Caenorhabditis elegans: one gene and its partner. The protein of the gene in region 1 interacts with the protein of each later gene in a pairwise test. Each region holds a gene or a part of one and is shown in the gene's direction. Other genes may lie near its edges.

Evidence for each region.
Region 2: the proteins of sup-37 (region 1) and sup-35 interact in a two-hybrid assay, tested with the Caenorhabditis elegans proteins (2 studies listed by BioGRID).

What each region holds. Positions count from the first base shown.
Region 1 is NC_003283.11:8,783,558-8,793,545, forward strand, and holds sup-37 (C2H2-type domain-containing protein), read left to right. Parts: upstream 1-2,987; 5' UTR 2,988-3,059; intron 3,060-3,282; 5' UTR 3,283-3,290; coding exon 3,291-3,411; intron 3,412-3,631; coding exon 3,632-4,498; intron 4,499-4,642; coding exon 4,643-5,121; intron 5,122-5,457; coding exon of another isoform or gene 5,458-5,550; intron 5,551-5,904; coding exon 5,905-6,012; coding exon of another isoform or gene 6,013-6,090; exon of another isoform or gene 6,091-6,283; coding exon 6,284-6,362; exon of another isoform or gene 6,363-7,370; coding exon 7,371-7,450; intron 7,451-7,607; coding exon 7,608-8,554; intron 8,555-8,665; coding exon 8,666-8,807; 3' UTR 8,808-9,219; downstream 9,220-9,988. Other genes in the region: magu-2 (MAGUK p55 subfamily member 5), read right to left, coding at 9,460-9,591, 9,649-9,810, 9,854-9,988.
Region 2 is NC_003281.10:11,113,754-11,121,936, reverse strand, and holds sup-35 (Regulator of microtubule dynamics protein 1), read left to right. Parts: upstream 1-2,710; 5' UTR 2,711-2,737; coding exon 2,738-2,796; intron 2,797-2,840; coding exon 2,841-2,990; intron 2,991-3,033; coding exon 3,034-3,151; intron 3,152-3,452; exon of another isoform or gene 3,453-3,576; intron 3,577-3,979; coding exon 3,980-4,048; intron 4,049-4,099; coding exon 4,100-4,702; 3' UTR 4,703-5,714; coding exon of another isoform or gene 5,715-5,786; 3' UTR 5,787-6,183; downstream 6,184-8,183. Other genes in the region: Y48A6C.4 (Pre-rRNA-processing protein Ipi1 N-terminal domain-containing protein), read right to left, coding at 367-487, 538-645, 1,351-1,519, 1,564-1,817, 1,865-1,983, 2,029-2,134.

The sequences.
Region 1 (9,988 bases):
CAACATGTTTTGGTGCCGTGTGAGAAGTGAGCTCTTTGGATGATTCTATGAATTCTCGCGGCGAGGAGAATCCCTTGAATAGAAGGCGATTAGTGAGAATGAGGCATGGAAACCAGGGAGCCGTCGCACCACTTTGACGTCTTCTTTCTATTCTGATTTTTTAAAAGAAATACGCCATCCAATTATGTTACTACTGTAGATGTTATTTTTGTAGCTATTTGCTCTCAAGTATGTTATGATTCGAAAAGTACAAAATACAGTTATAGTTCTCTCTAGTTATCTAGGTAATTCCCATCTCAAAATGAGAAATCACTTATCAGACCAAACAATTGCAAAACTAGAAGGTGATATGACTTCTAAATTTTTTCTAGAAGAAGAATTGGAAATGAAAGGTATAATAATAAACATTCCAACATACCCCAATTCGACACAAAATTAAAATGTTGGATTGTGGTTATGCAACTTTTATTTCTTGTAGTCTGAATAATAATTTCGGTCAACAAAAGAAGACACCATTTTAGATACACGATAACTTCCACCCACTCATCTATCTCCTGTTTTTTTCTAAAAATTTTGGTGACAACCTTCACCACATCATTCATCCACATCTCAATATGTATCACTTTTCCGTATATTCTGCTGGTTTTTCTGTCCTTACCATCGACGCTCTTTTTTCTTTTTCTGTTCCCTTTACTCTTCCCCTTCCTCGTCACCATCGTCCTCGCCTTCTTCTCCATTCGTCTTCTTCTTCTTCACTGACTTCTCCAACAGTATGTGTCTGTATGTTGCGCGACCTCCCGCTATCCTTCTGTACACTCAACGTTCCCGTCTTTCCCGTCAAGTCAGTCAATCCCAATCGGCCGAGAATCTTTGAAGAAGAAGACGAAGACGATGAAAAGAGGACAGACGTTGGAATGTTTATTTTGCTCTCCTCGATACTGACTGACTAGCTGCAAGAAGAATAAGAAGAAGGAGAAGAAGCGGGGTGGGAGAAGAAGAGAGAAGAAGTTGACTCTTTGCTTCTCGCGCGGGAATGAAGAGATGGAGCACATACACCGGCTCTCTTGCTCTTCCGCCCGCGTGCGAGAGAGGCACTTTCCTCCTCACTGTGCTTTTTCTGTGTATTCTCTACAAAGACACTTGACAAATGGAGCGCACCAACTCCGCTTCGAGAAAATCCTACTCCATCTCCGAATAGCTCTGAACCCCCCTCTCAATGGATGTTAGTCTATGTGTGTTCTTCTCGAAGTTGTCATCATCAACGACGAGAAGAACGATTCGTCGACATAACGAAAGAGTGTCTGTTATCATATCAGTGTTGAGGGCATGTTGCACGACTCGTCTCTCGTCCTCCACGATGGCTGGCGGCTGCATCAGAAGTATGTATCAATGAATCGATACCAAAACGAAATAGTGTGCAGCAGGCAGTTTCCTATGTGCATCTGCATCAGGCATCCCACAGCCCCACCATGGAGGGCAGAGGCGCGTGGGGTCTCCGACGCGACGCCGCACATTTGAATATATTCACCTTTGCACCACGTCATTCATCTGTACATGTATTCAACTATATCCTAACTATAAGTTAGATGAAAAAGGCACATAACCGATGTACATTTAACTACGAAACAACACAATTGTTTTGACATTACCTGCTGATACTCTTTGTGATTTTCGATTTGACACTAGTAATAACAGGAAAAATGCCCCAAAAATTGGATCTGAAAACACTGCTCAAGCGAAGCAGTTTAAAAGCAAGAAACTTTTGAAGGATTACTGTAGAAATGTAGTGTTCTAATTATTTATCATCATCCTCCCTCCTCTTCTACTTCTTCTAACTATAAACGTTCATTTGCCTAGCTCTATTCTCATTGACCGTAAACGTACTCAACTCCATTCCGGGACAGTGTCTTTCACTGCGTCTCACCGCTCTGCACACTCTTTATCTCTTGTCTCAAAGCCTCCCGTGTGTGTCTCCATCATCGGCGTCGTCGTTGTTGCCTCCCGCATACATACCCCGACACAAAGCCAACGGCGACGACCGCGATCACTCCGAGACGACTGAGAGGAGGGGGCCCGCCTTCTTCTCCCGGGCGTTTGCCTCTCCTCGGATCGACGTCCAGCTTGTGTCTCCATATTTCTGCGTCTCTCCGCATCTCGCTTTCCGATCGCGCCGTCATCGTCATCAACCGTCGTCGCCGTCTTCTGTGGACACTGTGTGCAGTCTCCACCCGCTCTGTGTGTGCCTGTGTGCGGTCGATCGGTCGTCGTGTGTGTGTCAGTATGTGTGCTTGTGTGTGTGTGCGCTGTATTGTGATGATGGCGGTGGGCTCGGTGCCCCCAATGTCCTCTTCTTCCTCTTCTTCTCGTTGGGACGGCTGCTGCCAACAGACGCAGCCATCTCTTCGAGTCAGAGCGTCAGATGTCTCCTCCGGTTTCTTTCTCTTCTTCTTATTTTCTTCATCCCGGTGATCATCATCATCATAATCACCTCATCACGTCAATACATGTAAAAATCTAGGTTGCTTTTTTCGATTACTGTAGATGTTGTATTCATCTAATAAACAAGAAGTTCCGAAAATGTGAGCTGGTAATTGCTATGAATTGTTTTCTAACTTCTTTTTTTGCCTTCTTCCATCATCGTTTGAAATTTTAAATTGTTCCTCAAGAAAATTTTTATTAGAATATTTCCATTGCAAATTGAATACTGTTATCCTATGCATTTTATCAATTTTGTTTTTAAAAAAAGTTCAACCACTTGCTAAAAAATTTTTTGTATTCAGAAGTGTATCGGCGTGCCGTTTCGCAATTTTGCCGGCTCATAAAACCTCGTCAACCGGGGCGACGCCACTTTCTTTCCTCGTCACCTCCTCTTCTCCGTCATCATCACCCCGTTATCAATTTCTTCTTCTTCTTCTTCCTGACGCTTTGTACGAGCATTCTTTCATTCATCTTCTCCTCTTCCGAATTCTCTCATTTTCTCATTTTTCTTTCAGCGTACCTACACTTCTCATCGTTGCTTTCCTTCTCCACGAGACTCGTCGTGTGATCGTCAACACCAGGTAAGAGGCGCTGCTTCATTTTCTGTTTTTGAAGAATAAGAAGAAGAAGACAGCTCTCCGCGCCGCAAATATCTGTCGCTTTTTCGCTGTCGTTTCGTTCGTTTCGGCGTAGATATTCTCAAAAAAAAAATCGGCGAATCAACATTGAGGAGCAGCAGTGCTCTCTGTCACTGTGCAAACTGTGTGAAGGAAGCTGCGAGCTCTCAACAACTATGTTTTCCAGATCACCTGATGAGCATCAGCGGAGAGGACAACGAGATTATACTGAACGCAAGTCTATCAAATTCTCCCGACCAGTTAGACGTTTTTGAGGAAAGTCGTCGAAATTTTCTCGAGAGTATCAACGCAACAGGTTGGTTTTTTATATTAAAATTATAATACGTCTTCTGGAACAATCTGTTGGAAATGTTTAAATTTGAAAACTATTATACTTTTTCATCACGTTTTTGGGAAAAGTTTCAATTTTTATCAGAATCTTCGGAGAATCTATATTGAAATTAGAAAACAAAAACAACGAGAAACTATTATTATCAATTTACTTCTGGAGAAAACTCTGTATAAATCTTTTTCAGTCTCAATGACCTCCAATGGCTCAAAAAATGGAATCGAGGATATTGCAAATCGTCTGAAACAGAATGGGAACACTACTTCAACATCCTTAACATCCAACAGTGGACTTTATCCAACCGATCCAACCATCATCTCCAACCATACTCCTTCGATGCAATTGAGTTGTGTTGAATGTGGAGTCACAAAAGCTAATTCAGAAGAAATGGAGATTCACATTAAGACAGAACATCTCAAATGGCTTCCATTTCAATGTCCAATGTGTCTCGTAGAACGAGCTTCTGATGCACAAATGAGAGAGCATCTTCATTCATCACATCAGAAAAATATGAGCAAGTTCATTTATGTGGACAATGTGAAAGCAAAACGGAGATTACAAATTCTGATGGACAGTGCATTCTCACTGAATGTCTCGGAACGAGTGAATGCAAAAAATCATCCATCTTCTTCTACATCTGCATCTCCATACTCACCGACAAGTTATCACCGTGGAATGAACTCTTCACCATCTTCCGGAAGAAACACCTCAACTTCGAATGGTAGTGCCACGTCAGCTGCAACTGCGTCGGCTCAAGCTGCTGCTACTGCAATTGTAAATCATCACAAAGAAAAAGAGAAGCAAACGGCTCAAGCTACTGCAGACTTTCTCAAGCTTCTCGATTTTACTGGAATTAATGGAGAAATTGGTGAACATAAAGCACAAAGTTCTTCCACAAGAAGCTCCAGTGGCAGAAAACGTCCCTATGTGCCCACATCTGCCACCGAAGCCATAACAACTATGGAATTGGCTGCTCCGAGTGCGGAATCGTTTTTGGCCAGCTTGAACTCTTTCAGCCATGCCCAGACACCTGAAAATGAGGAAAATGATCACCGTGAGTTTTCAAAAATTGAAGTTTCAAAGTTTCGCTAGTTGATTACTTTCTTGAAAATTACATGACGGTTTTTGAAAAAAAAACAACAAAAAACTCGCATCTTGCTTCGAGAATTTCCAAATTAAAGATTTTTGTTAGTTGCAGCTACATTGTTCTCTGTCGACGATCTCAACATTGACAGCACTTCCACACTCGCAACGCTTTTCGGTGGAGGCGCCCGAAAAACAAAGTATGATGACGGTGAGATGCCACACGATGAAGATCCCTTGTTGGACTCGTTGAATCCAATCTCTGTTCTCGATAACGTCGCCGCTCTCTTTGGCTCCACTCCCGATAGAAGTGTTGAAACGGAAACAAAGAAGACGTCAAGCATTTCGAAAAAGCGTGTGCTCGGAGAATGCTCTAAATGTCAGAAGCCCGTGACTGCTGGAGCCCGACAAATGCACATGTTCTTCCACTTGGCGAAGGATGAACTGATTTTCCGTTTCCGCTGCAAGCATGAGGGATGTAGTGTCGAGCATTACCGTAAAGATCAAATGGAGAATCATCAGTCGAAAGCCCATGGCAGAATTGATCCAGATATGATGGAGGATCGTTCGCTGGAATTGTTTCAAAAGTGTCAGGTTAGTTTGGAATACTCGCATCTGCGCTCTCACCCAATCACTTATCAGTCACTTATTATTTGGTCAATGTTGTAAAACTATATGTTGTAAGCCGTAATTTTATAGTTTTGAATTAGTATTTTATCGAGCTATTACTAGAAGCACATTTTTCAGATTTTTCAGAATGTTAAACATATACATATATCGTTCTTTAAAAGCTTCACACTAATAGAAAACCAAAAGAAATGAGCGCATTTGTGTTGTTATCGTACTAGTAACCAAAAACCAACTCAACCATTCAACTACATTCGAATCAACTTCAACTGAACAAACACACCATCTCTCTATCTCTTCCAGGAGTTAAATCACGAGCTTTTCGTTGCACATCGTCACGGACATCGCGCGAGCCCGCAGTGGACGGGTGGTTCGGCTGATTTGGCCGGCTACCAGGTTGGTGTCGTTTGGTGTTGGTCTCACTTATCTCTATCTTGTAACTATCAATCCTTCGTCTAACCACTCCATCTACTTCTACGTTTGGTGATATGTTCTAATATCTGCATGGTTTTGTGATTTGTGAATGTGTCTGTGAATAAAAATTGGTGGTGAATTAAGTTGACTTTCCATATCAGCCAACTTAATTTATTCCCAATTTAAGTTGCATTTTTTGCTTGGCATGCATCTGTAATTCTTCCACCCTCTCACAAAATGAATATCTTTCAAAAAATACTAGAAAAACAACCATAAACAAAACCTCCCTCCCCAACCTCACTAACCGAGTGAAATCTATGTGCCCGGGTTTTGCAGGATCTCTCCATGGAACTGCTCGGAACTAAAAATGGAACGATACCCGGACCGACTGCCGCAAAAGCTGAAATCGCCTATGCAGCACAACAAGCAGCCAACGCTCAACGGGTAAGATCCAGAGGTCACGGAATATCATCTACTACGTCACAATCTTCAAATCCTGCAAATTCTTTACTTGCTGTGTGATTAATTTTTTCCTCCCGCTCTCTGAAAACTTTCAAAAGTTTTGGGAAGTAATTAGAACTCTAATCTATCCAAACTTTCTAAACAACCTATTGCCTGAGTGTGATATCCTTGTGTTTTCCTATCCATCTTTCCTCCTCCTATTCCTCCTACCTTCTCATCTCTCTATTCTCATTTCCACCTCCACAAATTTCAGAATTCACAAAAGTCGAAACTTCCCGGATTGTCAAGTCTTTGCTCTTCAACCGCAGGCACTGCTGGTAGCACTTCAAACGGTACAGATTTCAAGATAACCATCGGACCGTTGTTGTCTCCGTAAACCGATGTTGTTGTAGTTGTCATGTCAGGAAATGTTCATTAGGAACCTTCTATTTTGTTTGCTTCTCCAATCAGAAAATGGGTGATGAGAAGAAGAGCGCGCCGGTTGTTTCCTCCGATTTGAGTTTTAAAAGTTTGCAAAATTAGTTTTTGCGGTAAAAAATCTTTTGAAAATTGTCTAAAAATCAGTTATGAAAAGTTTGCACAAAATGTGACCGTTACACACCGAAGTTGAGTTCTTATTACCTGTCTGCCCCGTTTTCTTTCTGCTTCATTCATTAACTTTTTTATTTATTTTTCTATACTTTCCCCATGAACTTTCCTGTTATGACAAAAAACGGCGCCCTTCTCCATCTGATCTCCCATTTTTACTAGTGTTCTCTTTAAATCAATATTGTGTAATCGTTGTGGTGAGCCCGGTTATTTTTCTATTTTTCGTTCCGTTTTTTTATCGTGTTGTGACCTGACCCTCCACTTTTTTACCTCATTCTTCATTTTTTTTTCTATTCTCAAAATTTCTCTTCTTCAACTTCTACCCATTTTCATATTTATCATAGTTTCATTCTAGGTTACCCATTTGTGATTTTTCTCAATTTTTCTTGATATTATGGTTTCCCCTATCCCCCCCTAGAGCACAACAAATCCCAGCGATCTTTGAATTTTCGTCTCATTTATTTTTTTTTATTCACAATTCATCTCCTCATTTGGTTGTTACTTTTACAATGTAATTTTTTTATGTGTCCCCTGATTTTTAGATTACTTTGACCAATACCATTGACTTCCTCAATCTCTCTCCCCAACAAATCGGTTGTGAAACAAATCACCAACGCAATAATAAAATATGATACTGAATTTCACAAATTCTCTGAAACAAAAAATTGAGGGAAAATGATCGGCGTTGCTCTAAAATAATCGAATACAACAAGCAGACAACACGAATATTTATAAAATAAATTTTAATTTAGGTTTCGGACCTCTGAAGCTTGTACCAGATGAAGATCATCCACTTCAATGCAGACTTTGTGGAAAAACCATGCAGAATAGAGTGAGTTTTCGGTTGTACTGTTTCAAAAAATACAAAATAAACACTTTTAAAACTGCATTTTAACGCAAATTAATATACCTTTCATATCAACAAATCATAGTAAAAGTTGCACCTTTAACAAATAGACCGGATGTCTTACTAAAAACTTTCGTTTCAGATCCGTGGCTTCCACATTCTGTGGCATATGGCCAAAGATAAAGGAATCAATCGCTACACTTGTAAATACTGCAACTTTGGGCATGATCGCTCCCAATCTGTGCAAGTCCATGGAAAGAAAGAGCATGGAACTGACGATTGTGTCGAGGATCGTATTGGAGAGTATCAAGACGATGTCAAGGAAATGTCCGCGTCCTGTTTCGGAATCTCCTCGCTTTTTGCTCAGGAGAGCAAACGGAAGAACAAATTCCCGGCGGCAGCCCCTCGTGAACACAAAGATCTGGTTTCAATGGTGAGTAGTAGTCACGAAGCTTCACCGGCTGTGCCAGTTGATGAGGAAGCGTCGAATGATAGTGCTATCAAAGAAGAGGAGAAGCCTCTGATTCTTAATGATGAGGAAATGGAAGAGTTGGGAGAAGACGATGAAGTGGAACATGAGCAGGAGCATGAGGACGAAGATGGAGAAGGAGATGAAGATGATGATGGTGAAGGAGAAGAAACAACTCCTATCACTAGCTCAAAGAGCTCCAAGAAAAAATGGCGAAGAGCTTTCAATATTCGATCAAAAAAGTCAAAAAAGCAGAAGGAAGACGCAGTAGTTGCTCGTTCCGTTTCGATTCTTATCGGTGGAGCTCAGTTTTACAAAAAGAAGGTTAATGAATTCTGCTACTGCGAAAAGTGCGGAAAACAGACAAATAGTCGCCTTCCCGAGCACGCTTACACTCATATGGATGGTGTTGAGCTGTACTCTTGCTCGGCGTGTTCTTTTGGAAACCAATGCAAGGAGACTGTAATGAAGCATATGCGCGAGAGTCATCCTTTGTGTGCTGAACGGTGTGTAGACAATCGATTGGGGCATATCAAGGAGATCAAGAAACAGCTCGGCCAATGCTTCCCTGCTTTTTTCATCGATCATCCGTTGCCAACGAGATCTGATATCGAAAAATTGTGAGTTATATTCCACAGAAACATTGATGTTTCAATTTGGAAACATTTACAAGATTAACATTTTTTAAAAACAAACGCAACAATTCAATTTCAACAAATCACAATTTTCAGGCAAATCCTTGCATCCGGTGGAGATCTCAAAATTGGTGGAATTGAGAAATATCTGAAAGAGGAATGTGAAGATGGTGAACCATCTGAAGCTCCTGAAGATGAGGAGATGGAAGAAGATGATGATGGTGTCTCTTCTGATTAAACATGTCAAATAAAATTAGAATTTTTTAGTTTACAAGAAAACCTCCACATAAAAAAATTAGTTAAAAATAGTTTTTATTTCTCCAATAACCTTTTGTTTTTTTTTAAATAATTTATACATTTTCACAACGTCCCAAAAATTAAAAATTCGTGTATATCCGAGGCCTTTAAATTTTCGATTCGATTTCGGTTTCTTTTCTCATTTTTCTTATAATCAATCCTTTGTTTTCAAACATTTCTCATCCCATTGCAATATCTGCTCATACAGTGCCTTTTTACCTGCATTTTCTGGTTTTACTTGTTCATTTCAACAGTGCCTTTTGCAATAATCATCTTTTTCGGATTACCTCATATCTTTTGGATGTAATCAAAAAAAAAACAATTCATCAAAATAAACATTTGCAAACTTGTTTTTAATTATTCATGATTATTCAAAGAAAACAAAATCACAGCTCATAAAATACCCATAGGGGAATGTGTAGAATTAAAAAATCCAAAACAATAAAAGCGTCATAATGGGAATGATCTGATCAATGGGAATTTTAAGAATACAAAGACCGGGGAGAGATGATGACAATTGAAGACTAGATATCGATTTTTATGATTTTGGGAGTACTCGACGAACCGATAATTATGATTTTTTCGATTACAAATTAGCACGCTGTCCATGTAGCCGGCACCCACATTGGCTCCGTATTCACTTTCATTAGAATTTGCTTCAGCTCACGGAATGATTTTTCAAAATCGATGTTGACTATGATTCCATCGAAAAGGTGCCCGTATTTCTGGAAACAGATATTGAATTAATTTCCCTAGATGTGTATTGCCTAAAGTTTACAAACCTGTTCAATACTTTTGCTTTGTGTCAAAATTGCTTTCAACTCATCATCTTTCACTCCAAAAGTTCCTTCAACTTCTCGTTGTCTTCGAAGAATATAAAGTGATGGTGCAGCAATAAATATTATGTATGGTTGAATATCTGGAGATCGAATCGCTCCGAGACTCTGAAATTTGTGATAAAGAATGATAAATGAAAATTAATTTTACCTCAGCTTTCAATGTCATGACACATGTTTTTCCACGTTCAATTACATTAACAACATCCTTCTTGGCTGTTCCGTACCAAAACTTTTGATATTCACCAAATTCGACAAACTTTCCAGATTTGGCATCTTCGTGGAA
Region 2 (8,183 bases), on another chromosome or scaffold:
TTTTTCGCTAAAATTTAAGTTTTTCTGCTTTTTTGGAGCATTTTGAGCTCACTTTTATGAAGTTTTATTGAAAATTTTCGATTTTTCAGTCTGAAAATCGGTTAAATGCTTTCAAAATCCCATTTTCAGATTTTTTTGGACATTTTTTTAAACAAATTTAGTGGATTTTCAGCTAAGAGAGAAATTCTTGGGTTTTTAAGCTAAAATGGCCGATTTTTCAGCAAAATTCCTGATTTTCGACGGAAAATTACGAACTGTGATCAATTTTAGCGGTTTCGGAGCAATTTTAAAGCAAATTTCCTGGATTTTCATCGGTTTTCTACTCAAAATTCCCGATTTTTAGCTAAAAATCTGCAAAATCCGTACAAATAATTGGCGCCAGTACATTTGCCAAATTGAGCAAAGCATCCGGCAGCTCAAATGGTGAAACTGCATTGGATTTCGATGAGCTCACAACTCCAAATTCGAATGGGCTCACGTCGGGATTCTGAAATTTATGGAATTTTAGGCTTTTTTACGTGGAAAAATTGCAAAAACCTGCACAAAAACTCGTTTCAAATCACTTTTTCCCTCGATTTTCTCATTTTCGAATCGGATTTCCAGGGTGGAAGGATCCACGTGTCGTTCTCGATTTATATCGTAAATCTGAAAGAAAAAAAAAATATTTTTTCGAAGTTTTTTAGAGTTTTCAGCGAATTTTCAAGCTTTTAAATGAAATAATTACGAGATTTCGTGCATTTTTTCCAGATTTTCACTGAAAAAACTGCAAATTTCGTCAATTTTCAGTATTTTTTCTGAAAAAAAACTAGATGCCAGTGAATTTTCAGCTTTTTTACAATAAAATTGCCATTTTTAACAGGTTTCGGTCAAAATTTTGTGGTTTTTAGTAATTTTTTGGAGTTTTCAACTGAAAATTGCAATTTAAAAAATGTATTTTTCGGATTTTCAGCCAACTTCTAAGATTTTTACTGAAAAATATCAATTTTCTGGGAAATCGCTGAGTTTTCAGCTTTTTTAACCACAAAATTTGAATTTTTCACTAGTTTTCAGTCGAAAATTTGTGTTTTAAACAGAAAGTTCAAGTTTAAAAATTTATTTTTCGGATTTTCAGTCAACTTCCAAGATTTTTACCGAAAGATACAGAATTTAATCCATTTTTTAAGTTTTTTCAGCGCAAAATTGCAATTTTGCTCTGATTCTTGCTGCAAAATCGGATTTTTTATCGATTTTTCTTCATTTTTTTCTGGTTTTTTTGTGTTTTCCAGGACCACACATAAAAATGCAGTTTAAAATCGATTTTCTCGAATTTCTAGTGAATTTTTCGCAATTTCCAGGCAAAAAACTACGAACATTGATGAAATTGAGAATTGTATCGATTAATCCCGGCTTATTCCACGCCAGACGCTTCGAACTGCCCAGATAATTGATAAAACAGGGGAAGAGATCGGCATGATTCCGGCAAAGGCTCGGATATCGATCGAGAAGCACCGAAAGTGTGCTCAGTGCGAGGTGGCGGACTCTGAAAATTCAAAATTTCCCATTTTTCAGAAAAAATCCACTCACTCTGTGACGATATTCGTTAGAGCGCGGAGCACGTGGGACAGGAAAAGTGTGATATGAGCCGACATTGCTTGAATTGAAGCTGTACACAGAATTTTGTAGAGATTCAGTAGATTCTGACGTGTGGAGGGCTCGAAAGAAGCGTCAGCCACGTGCACAGCCACGCAGGGAACCAAAAGCCTCAACTGGACGTTGACAAGATCCGGGCGAGACGTTAAAATCTGTTTTAGTCCTTGAATAGCGTTCATTTTCACTTTCTGAACGAGAATTTATTAATTTTGATCGATATTCAGCGAAAAATTACCGCATTAAAGTGCCCCATCTGCTTGCAGAGCTCATCGAGCGTTAGACCACGGAAACTAAGTGGATTATCATCTGTTTCCACTTTTTCCTCCAACTGAGTCGCCAATACTACTCGTTTTGCTGAAAAAATGAATTAAAATTCGCGAAAATCGGGTGAAAACTCACCTTTGATAGTCGTGTCGGTGGTCGTCGTTTTTTTCAGCTTTTTTCCCACCTTCAGCTTGACTTTTTTGAAATCTTCGTTTTTCCGTGCCTTCTTTTTGGTCACCATCTGCAAAAAATGTTAATTTTCGCGTGTTTCTTGAGAGAATAACAAGAAAAATGCGAAAATGGCAAAGGAAAAAAAAAGAGAGGAGAGACCACGCCTCGGTGAAGTGCAAGTTTCATAGATATTGATTCGAGAGAAAATTATTCCCATAAATAGAAACATCACGCCCAATTTTTAATATTTTCTTTTATTCAGAGTTAAAATAAATTGAAAACCAAATTGTTAAAATTTTTCCCACTATGCTCAAATCAGATCCTTACAATAATTTATAATTATCCTGCGTTCCCGTTTCTGCACACTCATTTATCTCATAATACAGCAACGTCTCCAAAGCAAAAGCGCTCTACTGCGCATAGGAAAAAGGCGCGAATCGAGTGATTTGAATAATTTCGCGGTGTTTTACCGCATTTTATCTTCTTTTTTCTCATTTTTAAACGACGTTTTACTCTTATAAATATTTTTCACGTATTATAGTTTCATATATCTTTCACACATTCGTCCTCCTAAAAAATTTAGTGATTCTGAAGGCTCGTAATTTATATGGCATGAATGTTCTGAAATATTCCTAATTTTTTGAACTTTCAGATTTTTATTTTTGAACATAAAATGGCTCACACTTTTGCGTGCCCACGTGGAGATTGTGGACTTTTTTCGCTTTCCAAACTGTAAGTCAAACATTGTATTGCATAATCACCGGTTTTTGTTTCAGGGACGATCATCTCACTGCGGATCATCATCTGGAACACATGTGTTCAGAGTGCGAAGAGAGCTTTGGCTCTGCAGAAGAGGCCAAAGAGCATACTCTTTTAGCTCACGAAAATGCTCAAACATTCGATGATCCAAAAATTAGAAATACTAGGTATTGTTGTTATCTCAGAGCTAAAATAAATATAATATTTCAGAATTGTAGATTCCATAATTGCAGCAGTGAGAGTATCCGGTGATGTGATTGAAGAATTCAATTCAGTGATCATGCGAGCGGTTATTCGTCATTGGGGAAACACGAGCACGGAAAAGCTGGTAAGGAGCAGATGATAATTTTATTTTATCTGAGAATGCGTTTTGCGCAAAATATCTTGTATCGAAAACTACAGTAACTTTTTCAAAGACTACTGTATCACTAGCGGCGACTTACGGAAATCATTCGATAAAAATTAAAAGAAATCACAAAAATGACAACAACTTGAATTTCGCTGTCACAATTTGATCAGAAAATTACAAATAGCAAGCCAATACATCGACGCCAGTTCTACAGTAGGCAGTTCAGGTTTTTTATACAGTTAAGTATTATATTAAAAGTAAAATATTAAAACTGTCACCTTAAATTTGAATCCAGCCAAGCCCGCGAAAAACTCCGCTCGATTTCGGATGCCGAAAATTGGCTCGAATCGAGAGATATTCGGGAGATGCTGGAATCAAATAAGACCTACTTTCTTTTAGATTTCCGCCGATCACCACAAAAATGAAAAGAGTGGGTAATATATCGCGGCCGACAACCCACGGGTTCCGCGCCTCGCTATAAATTAAGTAAATTAAGCCACGCCCTTCAAAAGCACACCAACTGATAGGGTGTGGCTTAATTGACTTAATTTAGAGCGAGGCGCGGAACCCGTGGGTTGTCGGCCGCCATGTATTACCCACTCTTTTCATTTTTGTGGTGATCGGCGGAAATCTAAAAGAAAGTAGGTCTTATTTGATTCCAGCATCTCCCGAATATCTCTCGATTCGAGCCAATTTTTGGCATCCGAAATCGAGAGGGAATTTTTCACGGGCTTGGCTAAATTCAAATTTGATGTGACAGTTTTAAAATTTTGATACTCTTTTTAACGAAAAATTATTCGATTTCAGATTGCTGTCGTTGATTCTCCAATGATTACTCGTGACTTCTATATCGACTGTTTTGAAGCTTTAAAGATGGTAGACTATTCATTTGTATTTAAACAATGAAATAAAATTCGAAATTTGCAGAGATACGATTCTGGAGAGAAGTCCATCGATCTTCTCTGTCGTTTGGCAAAATTGTGTACAAAAATTGGAAATTTTGTTGAGAAGGAAAAGAGAAAGGACATCATAATCAAAGGAAAGATGTACGCTACCGAAGCCTGGAACACCGATTCGTACAACATCTTGGCTGCTCATTGGGCCGCTGTGATGTCAGGAAAGGCAATCGAATATCTTGAAGGCGATGAAAAGAATCTGGAGATGAGACACTGCAGACAATATCTCGATCGTGCCATCTCTATCCAGGCAGGAAAAAATGCAATGTACAATAATATTCTTGGCCGTTGGGCTCTTTCAGCACTGGAGATTTGGGAGTCTGACCGACAACAGTTAATTCATCATTATGCCACCCCATATGACGCTATCGACGATGCCATTTATCAGTTCAGATCCGCTTTCGATCTCATACCGTATTGGATCGATAATATTGTACACCTGGGCAAAGCGCTTCTTTACAATGAAAACAAAGAAGCCGCCATTGGAATGTTTCAGCTCGCACTCAAAATGGACCCGTCGAACGATATCGAGAAAGAGTTGCTCGCCGACGCCCTTGACTTGTGCTCAATTTGATCCTTCTTTTATTTCCATTTTATTTTCTGTGTCTCATTTTTCCGTTTGCACTTTCCTCCGTTTTTTTATTGTAAAAATTCCGTAAAAATCGGCCCAAAATTCCCATTTTCAGGGGATTCTTGGAGCCCAACTTCTTTTTTTAAAAATTTGGATTTTTAAATTTTTCCCCGATTTTCTATAGGAAATTCCAAAACATTTACTGAAAAATAGAAAAAAAAATGGCCAGATTTCTCGAAAAAATTAAAATTTTTGGAATTTTTCTGATTTTTAGCTAATTTTTTGAAAAAACTGGCTCAAAAATTTTTTTTTGGTATTTTTTAAAGAATTTTTATTTTTAGAAAATCCGTGAAAATTGAGGGAAATTGAGCCAGAAATTTGGTATTTTGGAGCCCAAAATCTGTTAATTTTTATTTTTAAATTTCCACGAATTTTAAGCTAATTTTCTGAAGAAGTTGGCTCAAAATTTCGGTTTTTTGGAATTTATTTTTTTCCTGAATTCCTAGAATTTATAGTGTAGTTGATCCGGAAATTCTATTTTTCTCAAATAATTGAAAATTTTTACTTTCAGAAAATCCCTGAAAATTGAGTGAAATTGAGCTCAAAATTCATATTCTTCTCAAAAAATTGATTTTTCTGTTGAAACTTCCTTGAGAAAATTTCTAGAAGAAGCTGGCTCAAAATTTCGAATTTTTGGAAAGTTTTTGGAATTTTCATAATCAAGTTTTTTTCGAAAAAATTGAAATTCCGCCGAGTTTAAGCTAATTTTTAGAATTTTTCTCAGTTAACGGTTCTTTTCTAGTGAAAAATTCCAAAATTTAGAAATTTAAAAATCCCTTTTCCCCTTATAAATTGCCCCAAACATTTCCGCTTCAACCAATTTTTCAACATTTTTATTCTATATTTAACGGCTATACAAAAAAATCGATAATTTCTCAGGTTTTCACCTCTATTTCCTATCTTGTTCACACGCCTCGGTCCCAAAATTTAATAGATTTTCAGGCCAAAAAAACCAATGGGGTTTTTACAAATTCTTCAAGAATGTCGAGCCGAAGGACTATGGCCAATTGGGCCATCTTGTAATAAGGTGCTGTGAAAAATTTGGAAAAAAATTATTATACATTCGTCGAAAAATTTCATCTCAGTTTAAAGGCGCACACATTTTTTGTACTTTGGGTCTCACCACGATTTCGACTTTTTGAAGCTTAAAATCACTAAAAATTACGTGGATCGTGGCAGGACAAAAAAGTGTTATTATACATTCGCCAAAAAATGCCAGCTGATGAAAGGTGCATGTTTTTTGCAAAAATTGCAAAAAATTACCAATCGAAAAAAAAAACTCATATTTTTCCGATGGGTCTCGCCACGATCTGCGTCTTTTGGATCCTAAAAGAACCCAAAATTATGTGAATCGTGGCGGGACCCAGAAGTGTATGCGCCTTTAAAATAGGAGAGTATATTTTTGAGAATGTGTAATAATTTATTTTTTTGCTTTGAAGAAACTTTTTATCATTTTATGATAATAATAATTTTATTATACATACGTCGAAAAAATGTCATGGCAATTACCTTTAGGTCTCGCCACGATCTACGTCTTTTGGATCCTAGAAGCGTCCAAAATCACGCAATTCGTGACGAGACCCAACAGTGTATGCGTCTTTAAAATAAGCTTGCATAATTGTGGGAATGTATAATAATTTATTATTGTATTTTTTCAATTATTTATTACAAAAAAATGTATCAAAAAATTTTATACAAATCAACAAAAAAAACAAAAACAATTTTTTTCGTGTACTCCACACGGACAACAAACTGTAGTTTTACAACTAAAACGCGCCGTAAATCTACACAAAATCTCTCCGACCCAAAATGGCCTAATTCGGCAAACTCTGCCATTTCGATTCATGAGGGAAGCCAGAATTCCGTGTTTTAACCGAAAATTCCAGAGTCTATCAAAAAATTCCAATTTCACCTTTCTACCGTAGTCCAGCGCGGGAATTCAAAATTCTCACGTTCCACCGGTCTCCCTTATCAATATATATATCATCCTCACGGGGTTCTGGCTCGACCCCCCTCTCGAAAATTTTGGAAAATGGCGGGAAAAAATATTTGATCTCGCAAGAGGAATTTTCACGCAGCGCGTTGAAAAAGTGTATGCATTTGCGCGTGACGGTGTTTGCACAAAATACACCGAGGGGTCGAGCCAGAACCCCGTGCATCCTCCCAATCACTTTCACTGGTTACTTTTTCATTTTACCTTTTTTTTTACGAATTTCCGTTCGCGAAACCAAAAAAAAAATTCCAAAAAAAAGACCGGTGGCTATAATTACAGTACTGCTATTTTCGCATCGCCAAGGGGGTTAGATCAGGGGTGCGCGGCAATTGCCGTACGGCAATCGAATTGTCGGCAATTTCGGCAATTGCCGAAATTGCCGATTGCCGAAAATTTTGAAAACCGGCAATTGTCGAAATTGCCGATTGCCGGAAATTTTCGATTGCCGCGCACCCCTGGGTTAGATGTTCTTCTCTCCTATGTGTGTATATGTGCTATCAGTCGAGTACTGAAAATTGTGCATGATTTTTCAAAAAAAAAAAACCACCCAAGTCTTGACTCCTTTTTTTTCGCTGTTTTTTTCTGGAAAACTCAAAATATTTGTTCTCTATTTTTCAATAATTTTGAAAAATAAACCTTTAAATTGGCTCTCGCCACGATTTTAGCGGGTCTTTTTTTTCAAATTTTCAAATTATATATTTTTTTATTTAACAATTCCAATTTTTACCGATTTTCATTGAAAATTGGCACGGGTTTCTAATTTCCCCCCTGTTTTCAAATGGAAGAGGTGGCCGTGAAAAAAGCGAACCTCGACCGGGGGTCGCGACCGGGAAAACTCAACGAAATTTCGCATTTTCGTTGCTTTTTTCGGTTTCAAAACACGTTTTCGTTTGATTTTGTATTAAATAAAATGCAAAATCGATTGAAAACGTGTTTTGAAACCGAAGAAAGCAACGAAAATGCGAAATTTCGTTAAGTTTTTCCGGTCGCGACCCCCGGTCGAGGTTCGCTTTTTTCACGGCCACCTCTTCCATTTGAAAACAGGGGGAAATTAGAAACCCGTGAATTGGCGAATTCTCATTTAAAAAGTTTAAAAATTGCTTGAGACTTACAGTAGTTTTAAAGGAGCATGCACAAATTCTTGCGATGGGTCTTGCCACGAACTCTATTCTTCGAATTTTAAACTCAAATTTAAAGATTTTCTTCTCATTTTTTGCCTAATATTCATCAAATCTATTGATTTTTCTTGCAGAGAATGTGCCAGGAGGCTCGCCACGTCAGCTTCTAAATAATCAACACTATTTGGAGCATCAAGAGCCCCCGCGTCAAGCAATTTTCAACGCAACTCTCCAAATTCAACAGGAAATCAAAAACAACGAAAACGGCGGCATGATGGCCCCCAGTACTGAGGTTAATTCGGAGAAATTTGAA